3 linked regions of the Drosophila melanogaster genome follow. The protein of the gene in region 1 interacts with the protein of each later gene in a pairwise test. Each region holds a gene or a part of one and is shown on either strand. Other genes may lie near its edges.

What was found. Proteins that work in one complex are often made in the same cells at the same time.
Region 2: the proteins of CG14104 (region 1) and Grip interact in a two-hybrid assay, tested with the Drosophila melanogaster proteins (one large-scale study listed by BioGRID).
Region 3: the proteins of CG14104 (region 1) and ERp60 interact in a two-hybrid assay, tested with the Drosophila melanogaster proteins (one large-scale study listed by BioGRID).

Annotation. Positions count from the first base shown.
Region 1 is NT_037436.4:19,805,152-19,809,524, reverse strand, and holds CG14104 (uncharacterized protein), read left to right. Parts: upstream 1-2,325; 5' UTR 2,326-2,378; coding exon 2,379-2,585; 3' UTR 2,586-2,714; downstream 2,715-4,373. Other genes in the region: Kap-alpha1 (karyopherin alpha1), read right to left, coding at 1-450, 518-781, 841-1,325, 1,388-1,588; Ccdc58 (Coiled-coil domain-containing 58), read right to left, coding at 2,735-2,839, 2,893-3,015, 3,073-3,219, 3,288-3,323; CG34116 (uncharacterized protein), read left to right, coding at 3,522-4,157.
Region 2 is NC_004354.4:5,963,832-5,969,278, reverse strand, and holds the start of Grip (glutamate receptor interacting protein), read right to left. Parts: upstream 3,001-5,447; 5' UTR 2,714-3,000; coding exon 2,542-2,713; intron 1-2,541. Other genes in the region: fs(1)M3 (female sterile (1) M3), read left to right, coding at 5,122-5,447.
Region 3 is NT_033778.4:11,887,068-11,893,555, reverse strand, and holds ERp60 (endoplasmic reticulum p60), read left to right. Parts: upstream 1-2,576; 5' UTR 2,577-2,736; coding exon 2,737-2,885; intron 2,886-4,166; coding exon 4,167-4,607; intron 4,608-4,867; coding exon 4,868-4,981; intron 4,982-5,045; coding exon 5,046-5,811; 3' UTR 5,812-5,988; downstream 5,989-6,488. Other genes in the region: cuff (cutoff), read right to left, coding at 6,049-6,312, 6,423-6,488.

The DNA.
Region 1 (4,373 bases):
TTTTCACCTGCCTTCAAAATGTTTTCAAGTGCATTTAGCGCCACTTGGACGATGTCCGAGTCGACGACGGTGAGAAAATCGCACATGGGCGGCACACAGCCAACCTGCACCAGGTAGTGGATCTGTTCGTGCGTACCGCTGCTGGTTGCGTTGGTAATGGCCCATGCGGCCTCCTTGCGAGTCTTAAATTCGGCCGTCTGCATGATAACCATCAGCTGCGGGAATATGTTGGCATTGATTAAGGCCTGGATCTGCTCACGATTGCCGGCTGCAATATTTGAGATTGTCCAGCACGACTCCTTCTTGATTGTTTCCGCCGTCGAATGCAGCAGGTGGCTAATGCAGGTCAAAGCGTTGTACCCCAATATCACCTGGGTCTGCTGATCGTCGCCTGTCACAATATTGCCCACGGCCCTCAGAGCAGCTGTGCTCACGTTCTGCTGAGGATGTCTGCCAGGATAGGTCAACAAATCATAAGTGTAATTTTAATTTGTAATGGCGCAGCAGGACTACTTACAATAGCAGCTCAACCAGGCGACGGCAAACACCCGCATCAATTACAGCCTGGATTTTATCATTGGGACCATCTGACAGGTAGCCTATGGCCCAGCAAGTATCGCTTAGTACATCCGCATCAGTGTACTTCAGCAACCGTGCCAGTATTGGTAGACCATGGCTAATTTTGGCAAAGTCTGCGGGAGGGCTTTTGCCGCGGCACAAGTTTGAAAGTGTCCACACCGCATTCCGTATCATGGTAATGCGATCCGAGTTGCTCAATACACTGCAAGAAGTCACACCTACTTTGGCGCAATCTTATCAATATAATTATTTATAACTTACTGCAGGAGAGGCTCTAGAATGCCGGAGCCGAGCAAATGGTCTCGACACATGGGTGAGTCACCGGCTATGTTGCCTAGGGCCCACACGGCCTGTTCCTGAACATCATCATGGGGACTGGAGAGCAAATCAATGAAGATAGGCACTGCCCCGGCCTCGATAACCACCTTGGTCTGTTGCGAGGTGCCCGATGCGATGTTCGTTAGCGTCCAGGCGGCCTCGAACTGCAGCGTGGCATTTGCGCTATTTCGCAAAAAGGTGACAAACTGTGGCACTATCCCCTTCTGGATGACTTCCTCAATGGGAGGATTGGGATCGCGGGACAGCAGTTTGCGGAACTTTTGAGTCGCCTCAAGCTGTTCGTTTTCACGTCCACTGAAGAGCATTTGAATCATTTCCTCGTTGATTACGGATGGCTGTGCCCCGCTTCCAGCAGCTTCCTCGTTTTGACCGCCAGTGCTGCTGTCAGCCATGTGCATGTCGGCAGCCTGCATTGGAATGGAGAGATAGTTAAGACTATGCTATCAGGCCAAACTTGATCAAAATATACCTGCTGTTCGTTATCGGTGTTGCTCTCCACTCCGGCTGATGTTGAGGATGTAGCCGGCTCAAGAACCACATTGCGTCGCTTAAAGAGCTGCTGTTCGCGTTTGTTTTTTCGCAACTGGATGCCCACCTCCTCGCGACGACGACGCATCTCTGTGGAGTCCAAGGCGGCATTTTTATAACGCTGTTTGTGGCTGGCAGACATTTCGTCGTCTTGGCAATTCAAAAGCTTGAAATAGTTAAAAAAAATATTTCTTTGAGAACAGAATAATTTAAGTCGTAAAGACAGGTTTCAGATAAAAAGTGAGTGCGACTTGATTTTCGCCGCTACTGTGATCAAATGCTAAACGAAAGTGCAAATAATCTAGAAAATATAGGTAGAGGTCGTCGTGGAATGCGAACTAGTTGAATTGAACGTTTATAATCATCACTAGGTGTTCCCCAATGTTCTCATCCACTCCCACCAGGATTATTACGCCCTGTAACCACTGAACATTCGCTTAGCGCCTGCTCTAGGCTAATTTTACATTTCCGGAAACATAAAGATTACGTTGTCAGGCGAATAATTTACATATAATAGGTTCACATTTAATGAACTATTCAGTTTTCCTGGCAAAATGCACAATCACAACACTTTCACATTTCATTGTACGTGTATGTACATATGTGCACACACGGCTGCTTTGCGTTTGTGCGTATAGGTGCGGGCTTAGGTCAGCCAGCATGAGCCATTCGCTGGTCTCCGGTTACGCCCTTCTTTGAGCCACCACAACTCCTGGTTAGAAGAGGCGCCTTCAGATACGTAATTAGAACACAATTTACCTGTTCCGGAGAATCCTTTTCTCGTCTTAATCATGCAAGGGGACGGGAGATTTTACACGTTGTGAGGAACGGGGATGCCGGACTGTCAAAATGCAATGCACACAGCTGACGCGCTATCGATAGCGATATCAACCGATAGCAGTAATTCCAATCCAATTGCATTTAATTTAAACATGAAAGAAAATAAGAAAAAGTCGCGCAAAACGGCCAATAAGACAAATGAAACGTCAGAGGGTCAGAAAAAGAAGATCATTGAACTGCTGCACGAGTACAACGACCTAAAGGATGCCACCCAGCGCGTCCTGGAAGCCTTGGCCAACCTAAAATGCGTACCCGTCGGATCGGTTTACGCTACATACAACCTGCCCCGCGACGAATAAAGTTTGTGCTTTTTAGACTGTTATATTTATGTACTTGTTGTAAACAACTTGTAATACAACGGAGTGCATGTAAATGCCTTCTGGCTTGGCAGTTCCATGAGACTTCTGCTAATAAATCCACCTAAAACTAGTCATTGCATTTGTTCCACCTATTGGCCAGCATGAAAATAGGACCGGCATCGTTCATTGAAGGTCTTGTAGGAACGATCTTTAATGATGTCCTCGACATTGAGCTCGGCCTGGAGAACCCGCAGCTGGAAAGGATCATAGGCATCAGTTAAGAGTAAGACTTAGGTATTTCGGTTACCTTGCGCTGCTCCGCCCTAAACTGGTTATCCGTATCCACATCATCCGGCTGGGTCTCCCGCTTTTCCCTTAGCTTCTTCAGATTACTAGCCGAAATTGTTATGCAACTGCGTATGCTTTCTTGCTGCAAGGAGAAGCTATCTGTCAAGATCCCCGTGTGTTGTACTTAATCAGGATTTACCCTGGCCAAGTGTGACTCCTGGAGCTTCGCGTACAGATCGCGACAGGTGCTTTCACTGTTCACTTGACCCTTAAACGACTCCGTTGGCAGGGCATTTAGTGCATATATAATCTTGTCGTCCACATCTCGCATCTTCTTCAGTGCCTCCTGTTTGGAAACTTAAAGCCATTTAGTATGCCGGCTACTAACCCAAACAACAATATTCCAACCCCCACCTGGAAGCCGAGAAAGTCTAAGCACAATGCCGCCATTTAAACCAGGTAGGAAAACAAGAAAACACTTTAAAAAATAATAAAAACAAAATGATATATGTAAAATTGCCGGCGCAATGTGCCTCTAATCGGGGTTGCCACCTGGGCGGTGCAATCGATTAGCACGATTATGGACAATCGATGTGGATGATAAAGACTAGTTGAACAAAACAAAACAAAATAGCAAAATAATTCAAGATGCCGCTAAAATTCGATGATATTCACGAGAAAATTGAAACCGGCGTCTACCAATTGGCTGTTAATGACAAAAGCACACGGAGCACTGTGTGGCGGGTGTATCGCAAGATCAAGAAGGACGATGGTAGCTTTCTGGAGCACGTACTGTTCTGCATCGGCTGCAGGAGCATTATGTCCTTCACCCACAAATCCACAACGAACCTGAGGCGTCACCGGTGTCACCTGCAGTATCTCAAGAAACAGGCATTCTGCTGCTACAATTCCAAGGGCGAATCCAACGACAGAAAGGAGGAGACGGACCAGGAGCATCATGAGGAACATGATGACCAACAATCCATGTCGGATGAGTTGGAAACAAAACCCTCTCCTGCCGATGTTGCCGCCTTTGTGGGGGAAGCGGTCAGCGGCGGAGATTCCACTGCAGCTTCAGCCCGTATTCCGGACATTCCCGAGATCGCGCTACCACTCGACGCAAGTGGGGTCGAGGAGTCCAATGTTTATGCACAGACCTGGTCCCTTGAGTACCGCAAACTCAGCGAGGACCAAAAATTCTATGCCAAAAAAGCTATAGACGAAATCTTCGTATTGGGCAGGCTACGACGCCTTACTCTGAATACGGTTCCAACGGCGGAGTAGAATAGTTAATCAGGATTAAGTAGGACTTAATTTAAGCTAATATACATACTCTGTACATATTGTGTTTAATCTTTAAAGTCGTATCCCTAAGTCTGGGATATATCGGAATAAACTATTTGATAAATTGATTCTTTCATATTTCCTTTAAATTTATAATCAATTTTGATTTTACAATGTTGGAAATTATTGGATGTTTTGCGATATATTTTTATTCCT
Region 2 (5,447 bases), on another chromosome or scaffold:
TCGACATATGCAATGAAAAATCGCATAAAATCTGAGAAAAGAACACACATGGTAGATGTAAAAGACAGAAGGAATTATCCACTATCAATTCATTCCCGATTTTTGTCATTGGACCTCTTGTAATAATCATCAAAATTCCATAAATTTAATCGCCTCATAAGTTCGAAATATTTTCCATGTCAGACGTGATCTTTTTTCGATTCGACCATCACAAAAAAGATGAAACTCTGACCTCAATTGCATTTTTTCACCATTTATTTATCACCGTGAAAATGTATCAATTTATTGCCAAGACAAATGTCATTTAATCAAAAAAAAAATGTCTAAGATGTTCTAGCATTTTATTTTTTTAATTTATTTTGGTATTATTTTACCGAAATAATCCTTGGGAAGCAATGCAAATTTAGATCGTATTCCCATCGCCCGCCTGTCAACGCTGACAGTATAATCTGTTGATCTATTATATCATTTCGACATTTTTCGAGTAGTTCCAACTCTTTTTACGATTTCCAATGTTTTGTCGTTGATTTTATGGGCACTTAATGTGCCATAAAAGTGGACAAGAGAGTGAGGGGTTCTTTTTTCGATTCCAATTGGGGGGAGTTGTCATCTGTTTGATTTTGGGCCCGATGTTTTTGGGCTGTTCGGTGCATTGACATTGAACACCTTTCGATATTCTCAGGCCTTTGTTTGCATTCGAGGGAGTCAAATGAGCAGTCAAATCAATCGCTGCAGTTGTTGTTTCTGCTGTTGTAGCTGTCATTACTGTGTAAACAAGTGACATCTGGTCATCCTCCCCCCTTTTTGATCCCCCCCTTTTGGATGAGTACACGCCTCTGTTTGCCTTCGGATAGGCAACCATCCACAGCCACCAATTGCAGATGCATCTACATACAAACGTGCGTGCCATTAGGTTTACACAGGGGGTCGAAACAATAGGAGATCAAATGTTATGTTTCAACAGGGAAATAAATCTCGAAAGGCCTTCAAGCTTCCACTATGCATACACTTGAAAACTAAGCAAGACCAATTATAATGAAGCCTTAAGCTAAACCTATTCAAGCTGCTATTATCTTGACCACTGCTGTACGACTTCATCTAGTCATTTGGCATCAATTGACGATTGTCTGGCCCAGTAAGCGCATCCACATCGACCAACTGCCACCAGCAGAAGCTGCATTCTGGCCAGGCACTTGGCCTTATCTACCAGATACAATCTGTGGCATTCCGCGCAAGAAAATTAAGCAATGAAAAGGGGCAACAGCAACAGCAATAGCAACAGTTGGAGCAACAACAATGCGGAGCATCAGAAATATTTAATTAAATGCTTAATTACGCTTGCCATGCCATAAATTCATCAAATGCAATTTAAGCCCGCGCACACGAACAGATGCAGATACTTTTGTATCTCCTGCGCTTCTCTACTTCACCCATAGCACATCGGTATCTGGTTTCCTTCTCTTCTGGCCTTTTCATTCATTGGAAAGTTCAACTGCAGTTGCAATTGGAGTTGGGCCATCATTTTACGCCGCTAATGCCTTAACTGGCATAAATCCCAGCCGCCTTTTTCCTCGCGTCCATCCTGGCGGCACTTTTAGATCATTAATCCGCGAAAGATCAACGGAAAAGCTGAAAATAAAAAGAGAACAGCGTTCGCGGAACGGCTTTTAAGATCCTCAAAAAGGGGTGTCCTATCTAGATCTCAACTTATGATAGGTCAAAGTTGAAACAGTAGCCATGGAGGTGGGCGAAACTGATACTCTTTTCTTCCAAGCTAATTTATTATAGGTACACCAAATTCTCGGTATTTCTCTTTGAGATTGCGCAATCCATTCAATTAGGTCTTCCTTCAATTGATGGGAAATGCATCTGATCATCTGCTTATCTGATCAGCTCCAATTAGTCATGATATATAGAGCAATATAGCAGCGAACCGTTGAACTTCACTGATTTGGCAATCCAATTCGATTGCCATTCGATGGCCGGGTAATCCATCAAACTGCCTGCTGATCCTATTAAACCAATCGCTGGGTAATCAAGGGTCAGGTCACCCAGCTCCATCGGCTCCATGGGGGGTTTCTTTATTTCTTTGAGGGAAGGGGCGTTGCAATTGACAAATTTCGAGCGATCGGAAAATGAAAACGAAATGCGAGCAATTACTTTCAATTGAAAATGTCAAACATTGTCTTGGCCCACAAGCACACACTGAGCGAAAACTATATTTTCAACAGCACTTGGATGCTTGGATACTTGGATATAGAGATGCAAACACACCGTCGGATATTTGTATACAAATCTATATCTAAAGTCAAGCACTTGAGGGCCAAACGCAAGCACCTTGGGCGGAAATGCGATAACCCTGAGCGGGCGGGGAAAAGACGGAAAGTCGGCAAGTCGAAAAGGCGGAAAAGCGGAAAATGGGAGCGCACATGTTGGGCGCTTTTAGATGATTTTTGGCTGGCTATCTGCTGTGGAAGGAAGTGGGTTGGGGGAAATGGGAAAATTGGAAAATTCGAAGATTGGGAAAGCCCCATCACTTACCGGATAACATGGGCGCCAAGGCAGTGTCCGTCGGCGGATGATGGTGTCCATTGAAGGAGTTGTTGTGCGACTCCTGTTGCTGTTGTTGTTGCTGCTGTTGGTCCTGTTTTAGGGCGGCCGATTTTCCGGGCACACAGCCACCAATGGGCTTCTTCGATTTCCACAGTTTCATCTTGAGTTTTCTTTTCTCCAACTTCTCCCCAAATGGGAAAACGCAGCGATCTCTACGATTTTTCAACACTCATGGCAAATTTGGCATTTTCACAAAAAAAAAACTGTATATTTAAAAAAAAAAAAAAGGTAAAGTAAATTTAAAAACGAATTCGGTTTCCAATCGATATCGGGAAATTCGAAAACAATTTGGAAATTCAACGGCTGCGGCGGCGACGGCGACTGCGATGCGACTGAACCTGACGATGCGCGCACGTCCGCGGAGCACGGCCAAAAGTTGCACAATGAGCGATCTTGCCGCCAGTACTAGAGGTGGTAGAATTAACGATGTAACATCGATAGTATCGATGTTGCAGAACATTTTTGTTAACTTTGATGTTGAATTTTGTTATTGAATCCTTTATTGCAAATGAGTTTATATTTTTAGATAAATTTGTAGATAATAGTTAATCGAAAGTTTTTGTATAACCCGTATTAAATGTGTGTATGTATATATATGAAAATAAATAAGTAATAATAAAATATATTTGTATGTTTTAATTTTCATATTTATTAATACGAATACGAATGCACACAAAAAGAACAGAAAGAGTAATATTTTTCGTTTATTTTTCGATAGTCAATGTTCTCGCCATAAAACATCGAAAACATCGACGGCGACGAGCATCGATGTTTTTCCAGCTCTAGCTCTAGCTGCGTGACTCACTCGCGAGGAGAAAAGGAAGAGAAAAAGGAGAGCGAGAGTGGTGCGTAAGCGGAGCGCTTTTTGGGGAGTTTTGGCTACTGGAGAAAGAGTTTTCTCTCGCTCTTACTCTCGTCCTCTCTCTGGCAGAAGAGTATCCCATTGGGGAGGCACTCAAATCACAGACCGCCACTCCAAAAGCGCCGTTATGAGCCCGCTGATGAGCCGCAGGCATGACAATCAGCTGCTTCTGTTAACCGTTAAGCGGTAGTCCGAAATGGTTAATGGTTTAGTGTGTTGGGGGAGGGGTGACTTGGGTTTTGGCCTGTGACGCCAAACGCCAAACAACGAACGCAGAAAAAAATGCTCCCAAAACGGGTGTCGCGAATTTGCTAATTAGTCACGAAAAGCGCGACGGCAACTGCTCGAAATGGTCAACAGAAACAGGACACAACAAAAACCGAAATGAAATGAACCAAATCGGCAGCACGCAACCAGTGAGCACATCTGCTGAAACCAACAGCTGGTATTAGCCATGCACTAAGCCAACTAGAAATGGTACAAACTTAAAAGGGCATTCAGGAAAGTTACATTTTGAAAGTTTAAAACATAAAAGCCAATTTTGATCTACAAAATTTTAAGTTCACCTCAATTTAACATCCGATTGTATGTTTTGCTCTTATTTATTTTACAATTGTATATTCGTTACACTGGAATGTTGTTTGCATAACATGTCAATGCTGCGATCAATCAGATTTTGGGCAAAGTAAATATTTCAGCGGGTGTTCCCAACGGATGCCCCCAAATCCTGACCCCGAGGGCGATGACATGAATACCGTTTTCCTCTTGTACACCTATTAATACATATTTATATGTGCCTTAAATCCGATTTAACTGCAAGTACAAATGTGGCCACCTTTTAGGTTAAAGCTGCGGATTTATGGGTGACTTGGTAAGGCCCATTCCGCCCCCAAAATATTTCACATACATATGTATGTATGTGCATACATACGTACATATAAATTTATTTTTATGCGATTCCCTCTTCCGTGTTAAATGCTCTCTTCCTTTCTATCTTTTTTTTTTTGGTGGCTCGAGGTTTAATGTCTTTAATGACCTCGACTAATGATCGAAGCTGATTGATTCAGCAGAAACGTCGAAGGCACTCTCCAAGTTTGTCTGCCTTATTTTTAGATCCCCAGCCTTATATGCCCCATTCCCCACTGCCCAACCCCGTACGAAAAATTTAATTCCCAGTCCAAGGTGTCACTGCTGCAGGCGGAGAAAGCAGGACGGAGAGACGCGGATTGACTGACGAGTGCCGAGAAAATCGGGGAAAACTAATGCGACACATGGGAAAAATGCTCGTTGAGCGCACAAATGAAAGCACTTTCCGTTGCCTACATTCAGGCTGAGAACTCAAATCGGAAAACCAGGAACTACAAAAATATACATATTTCACTCTACATATAGTAACTCTGTTTATTCCACTGTAACGGAATAACAACAACTGTTCGATGAGTTTTTGTCTTTCGCGCGCTTTCCGTCACTCACAGTATTTCTTTTCATTTTACAGTTATACTAGAGCTCTCTCACGAAGTATAAATTGGTTTACAGTTACGAACAAGAGAAATGGCACACCAAAAGTAATGTGCCATGTGAATGGATTGAATATATCATTGTAGTTTAGTATCACTAGATACAACAGTCCCTGCAATCCTTGCGAAATGATTTCGCCAAGCGTGTGTGCAGCATTATTTAGTGTGTTAGTGTTAAATAGCTATATCGCCCAAGTACAAAGTGAATTATCAGCAGCAGAAGTCGCTGGAGATCCGAGTGCTGCCCAGCTGCTGCCCAGTTCCTGTCGCAATGGGTTGAATGGCAGTAGCTCTGGCCCGGAAATCCGTCTGCCCTTTGTGGACATGATGGTGCGCCATGAGAAGCCACTCTTTGTGCTCCGCGAACCGGAAGAGGATCTACTTTTACTGCTCCATGGACACGAGATTTTTCAGCTGCACGTGGCCACTGGGGAGAGGCGTCTAGTGCCGCTTGG
Region 3 (6,488 bases), on another chromosome or scaffold:
GCTGTTGTGTGTATTCGAGTGTTGGATTGACGGAACGTTGGAACATTGGAAGGTTGCAGGGTTCGGCGGGTTGGCGAGCAAGAGAGGTTGGAATAAACAAAGGGTAAAACAATTCGTTAGCATTCGGTGGGATTACAACTACAATTATTAGTGGGTATAACACTTTCTCATTTCCCTAGCGTACGTTCGACTTTTGTTTGCATGCGCGAGCACAACCTAACCTCAAACTCTTGCAGCCGTACAAAACGTGTTTTTTGAGGTTAGGTCCAGTGCCCGCATGTAAGGGTGTGGGTAAAACGAGTGGGGCGCAACTACAGAAAAGAGCGTGCAAATAAAATTCCATATGGAAACTCGATTTTGTTTCAGTGATTTTGGTATTTTTGCTTTCGTCAACTGTCTTCAGTAGCAGAACTGAAAAATCATCATCATGTTAAATCGAAGAGTCCAAAGGAAAATTCCAGCAAATTTAATTCGCAAATACACATGTGCTTATCTGCCTATGCGTGTGTATATCTATGCCTGTGTATTTGTGTGACGCTGTTGCCGGCCGGAGGAAAAGTAAGAGAGGAATAGAGAGAGAGAGAGACCAAAATGGCGGATGTGCATTAGTGTGCGTGTGTGACTTGTACAAATGCAAGCGATCTCGCCGCGGTGGCACAATTGGTAATTGGAAAGAAATGAAAAAGAGAGGGGCACACAACGAATTATTCAAGAACGTAGTGCAGCGGCAGCCATTTTACCAAAACCAATTATGGAGTCGGTTGGAAATGGCGAAATAGCTGATGCGAGTGCCATTTCACCAGATATGCTAATGGGCTGGAAACCCAAAAAAGCACATTTTTTCGCTTGTTGCCAGGCGAATTTTTTTCGCCCACTTGACTCACGCCACTGGGTCGCCATTTTAGAATTCCATGCCGCAAAAAGAAAGAATAAGGAATATCTATAGGTCATGACAAAGGCAAGAGAGAAAGCACGTTTTTTTTTCTCGGTTAATGAGCACATCTGGTGGATGACCTCTGTGTCCGGCGTGGGCGTGGCAAAGTAATTACACACTAAGTGCACCATATTGCAGGGCGAAAATGCGGCCGGAAAAGCCGGAAAATTATTTTGAGAATGCTGGGAACTTTAACTGGGAACGCCAGTTAAAATTTTTGCCTTTGCAGACTTGCCACGTGTTTGCTTCTATGGCCACCTTTCACTTTGGAAAACCGCAGTTAGAGGTTATCTCCGGGTTTATTACACACACACAGGAAAAACACTGGAAATATGCACAAATTCGGCGTCTCAGCTGCATATTTGTTTATAAATTGTTTTCTGGCTGCAGTCCCGTTGCAGAAATTACTTAATTATAGCCTCGCAGGTAAAACTTACTCTCGAATAAGCTGAATGAGAAATCACGAAGTCTAAGCGGCGACGGATTCGAACAAAGTGAACGAGCGTTCGGCAGAGCTCAGCACAGGAAGCCTCGTTTGACACATGGTGTGACCGAAGCTACGCAACTGTCAAAAGAGCAGAAACCGTGTTCTCACTGCGGTGTTTCCACTACGCGCGAATGAAGCACTTCATTTTATTGAAATTTAAGTGATTGAAAGTGGCAAAATACAATAACCTAACGATTGAGGGATTTAAAAAACCTTGTTTGCTCGACATTGTTTTTATATGAAAAACTAAATAATCAGTGATTCCAAAAATATTTTCTACAAAACGATGTCTATAATTTCTATACGTAATATTGGAACACATATCTCTTAATATTTAAAAACTATAACAATTGCATTAGTAGTCCGCATTTTGAACTTTTAGACTAGAACCTGAACTTTAATTTGTATGTGAACCCTAACGTAATAGAACTTTAAATAACAATAGAAGCTTGAGATCGTTTAAATTTATGTAATACGTTTCATTTATTTATACATTTTTTGGCGTCCGTTGCTACAACTAAAATATGCTACAAATAAAACTATAAGTAATTTGGTATTGTATCAATTTATACAATATTGTAAAAATTTATAACTTAAGATCTCACGTTTTAATACTTTTTCTTCTGGAATTCATCAGAATGCTAATATTTATTTGAATTTGTAACTTACTGCTTAATATTTTTTGTTAGACTATTTTTTCACTCAGTTTTCACTTGTACTCAATAAATTTATTCATTGTGCATAGAACAAAAGTTGTTAGCCTGCCCCTTATATAGGACGCAATTAAAAGTTCCTAAGTGTTTTCCTAATTTTGTGAAATTAATTAATTAGTTATTAATAATATGATTATTGTTATGCTTGCGAAATCAGTTAACAATAAATGCAATTACCATCTTTTATGAAATGATAATTTGACAAAATTTTATTATAAATCGGTATCAATTAAATTAATTTAAATCTAGATCTCAACTTTTCTGTGTGACTGGAAAGAATTATAGCTAAAGCATTTAAAACCCACACATATAGACATTAGTCATTAATAAATGATGAGCCATCTTTATTTATTGTTTACATATGCAGGAAAGCTCACAACTGAGAGCTTTTTCCAACTTTAGACATTTTCGGCCTAGCCCCACCTGGCCACACTACGACGAAACAGAATAAGAAGCGACGTGGCGAAAGAGGCAAAAAGCGAATTCAATCGTTGAAAAATACCGAACCGGTCCGGTACTCAGTTTTTGTTGTAGAAGTAGGCGTTCGACGGCCTAGTTGAACTTGAATTATTCACCGATATCGCTTCAAGTGAACCCAAATAATGATGTGGCGCCTTGCTGGAGTGCTCCTACTAGGCTTCATCGCCATCTCGTCCGGAGCGGAGCAGGATGTCCTGGAACTGGGGGACGACGACTTTGCCACCACCCTAAAACAACACGAGACGACGCTGGTCATGTTCTACGCCCCCTGGTGAGTTAGTGAGTGGGCGTGGCCGGGCGCCATCCTACAACAAATGCATTGCGTGTGCGATTCGCGTATAATCCGCTTGTTGCGTCCGCAACTTAATTCGATTCCCAATGCCCAGTGCCGACCGATGCCCGATTTTCCGGCCATCGCAAGCGCAAAGTACACGTCAGCGTTTGCCTTGCTTTTGCCGGCAAATAAAGAAGGAACGAGTGACGGAACGAAACGAGACGCAAAGAGAGGGGCAATGATGATATGCCAGTATTGGTGCCGTCGGCCATTTTAGAGCGCGGGGTGCCAAAGTGCCTAGTTGGTACAATTTCCGTGCAATTCCTGCTCCACTTGTCCACTGGCTAATGATAGTGAGCAGGCATAGGGGCCCCAGTGTACATAGCGCATCTTTTATTATAGTTTCTTATGCCTATGCATTATACCCATAATCCCAGGAATGTGTAATTCTAAGGGTTAACTTAGATTTAGCTTGAAACTGGTTATCATAGTCTGAAACACTCACAGTTCTCATACAAATGTAATTTCCCAACAGTTTACACCAACCATATTAAAACTTCAATTTTAATTGCCTGCCTACTCACAAAAGTTATGCTGATTGTGCTATAAATTTCTCATGTCAGTAGACACATTTTTAACTTCCATCGTAATCCACACTGAACACAATAACCTTTTAATACATTTTTGTTTAGTACATAACACATATTTACTGTGCCTATTTACTCTCTTTTGAGCCATTTGTTTGCCCATTATCAGGGGTAAACTATAAGCTCACACTTGGACAATGAACTAGGTAAATTATTAGCGTTTTTTTTGCCGGCCGGCTTTCGAAATCCCCAAAGAGCTGTTGAACTACTTGGCATGGAGACTTGATTCCCTCATGACGAACCTTATCAGTATTCAAGCATAAATACACAGGGATGAAGTTGAAAAAGTTGTACACTGCAATAAAACTGCTCTTTTCATTATAACATAGTTAACTTAAGGCATCACTTATCTTTATCAAAAATGAATTATTATCTGCACTGCTAAGAGTGCAGACTATACTCTGCTGTTTCAAATAAGTACCAAGTCGTTTTTCTCTCTGTATGCCTAATGGGCACTTGTACTTGTGTGATAAGACAGTTGATAATTCCAGCACCCTTACTTTAATTACAAGCTAGTTTTTTGGGAACTTGTCTTCCCGTTGCCTTGATAACAAATGATGAATTAGATAGTATTGTTACCAACATAATGTTTAAGTGACGTGTCCTAACAGAGTGTTTTTTCCTGTTTAAGGTGCGGCCACTGCAAGCGATTGAAGCCCGAGTACGCCAAGGCGGCGGAGATCGTGAAAGACGATGATCCGCCAATCAAACTGGCCAAGGTTGACTGTACGGAAGCTGGAAAGGAAACGTGTAGCAAGTACTCCGTCAGCGGCTACCCAACGTTGAAGATTTTCCGTCAGGATGAGGTGTCGCAGGACTACAATGGACCACGCGAAGCCAGCGGCATTGCCAAGTACATGCGCGCCCAAGTGGGACCCGCCTCCAAGACCGTGCGCACCGTTGCCGAGCTGAAAAAGTTCCTGGACACCAAGGACACCACGCTGTTCGGCTACTTCAGCGACAGCGACTCCAAACTGGCCAAGATTTTCCTGAAGTTCGCCGATAAGAACCGCGAAAAGTACCGCTTCGGACATTCAAGCGAAAAGGAAGTCCTCGATAAGCAGGGCGAAACGTAAGTGGGAGGCTCTAATCAAGACTCGTACATCTGTGTATTATGTGTTTTTCGTTTTATATATTTTCTAAGTGTTAATAAACTAGAGCCTAGTTGGGATTTTCATATTTGTTTAAATGTAATGAAAGGTTCATCCATTTCATTGTTCATTTAACTTGCTCCAAAGTTTTCTCCAAAAAGTTTCCACTTTTAGGTTTTTATGTTAAAATGTGTTAATGTAAGTAATTAAAATATCTGTGATGCTTTTCAATCCGTTCCAGCGACAAGATTGTGCTTATTCGTGCCCCCCATCTGAGCAACAAGTTCGAGTCATCTTCCATTAAGTTCGAGGGTAGCTCCGAGTCCGATCTGTCTACCTTTGTCAAGGAGAACTTGTAAGTAGTTTGGAAATGTTGTTACCTTCTGGCACATGTCCACTATTATTGCTCTCTACTCCAGCCATGGTCTTGTGGGACACCGCACTCAGGATTCGGTCAAGGATTTCCAGAATCCTTTGATCACTGCCTACTACAGCGTGGACTACCAGAAGAACCCCAAGGGAACGAACTACTGGCGCAACCGTGTGCTCAAGGTGGCCAAGGAGTTTGTGGGTCAAATCAACTTTGCGATCGCCTCCAAGGATGACTTCCAGCACGAGTTGAACGAGTACGGCTACGATTTCGTTGGCGACAAGCCAGTGGTATTGGCTCGCGACGAAAAGAATCTCAAATACGCCCTGAAGGACGAGTTCTCAGTGGAGAATCTGCAGGACTTTGTCGAGAAGCTGCTGGCGAATGAGCTGGAGCCGTACATTAAGAGTGAGCCTATTCCCGAGTCGAACGACGCTCCCGTCAAGGTGGCCGTCGCCAAGAACTTCGACGATCTGGTTATCAACAATGGCAAAGACACGCTGATTGAGTTCTACGCCCCATGGTGCGGCCACTGCAAGAAGCTGAGTCCCATCTACGAGGAGCTGGCCGAGAAGCTGCAAGACGAAGATGTGGCCATCGTCAAGATGGACGCCACCGCCAACGATGTGCCGCCGGAGTTCAACGTGCGCGGCTTCCCCACCCTCTTCTGGCTGCCCAAGGACGCCAAGAACAAGCCAGTCAGCTACAACGGAGGTCGCGAGGTAGACGACTTCCTTAAGTACATCGCCAAGGAGGCGACCACAGAACTGAAGGGCTTCGACCGCAGCGGCAAGCCCAAGAAGACCGAGCTCTAAGCTGCACGCCGGGTAGAACTGGCCGCCAACTAGCATTTCCATATTTTTGTAAAATCGAATGCATTCTCCACAATACTTGAGCAAAAAATGTATTAAATTATTTGATAGTGATGAAACGCGTACGAACACAATTTGATGATTATGTCGCAATAAACTTAAATCTTCATTTAATTAGTTAACCACTTTTGTTCTGCTATTTCGGTATTCATATTTCTTTGCCAGTTCTCATTGTTATTGTTAAACTATAGAAGACATGGTTTGCAAATTCGGTGTCTTACACATATCGTTCGTGTGATCGTCCAGCATCATCCGGAACCAGTCCGAAACGAACGTGTACTGATTGCGCCCTCGCAAGCCCTTGTATGATACTGTTCCTTGGCTCGCGTCGAACTGAAAAAGGTAAACGGTGCTGGGGCAGTCGATCGGCGCCATAACTTGGGAAATACAATTGAGTAGGTAAATCATGAAGTTGGCGCACACTGTGGGCGACCAATCTTTTTCCTGTAAATGAAAAATTTAGTTTCTTAAGTTAGTAGAACAAGAAATGTTCCTCGAAAGTTGCAAAACTGGGCGATAAACTTGCATAAAATGCTTGATTTAAGTATACTAACGCAAGACTTCCATAAATCCCGCACCAAAGTCTTTTCAATGTTGTGCACATGGGCGTTTTCATCGCG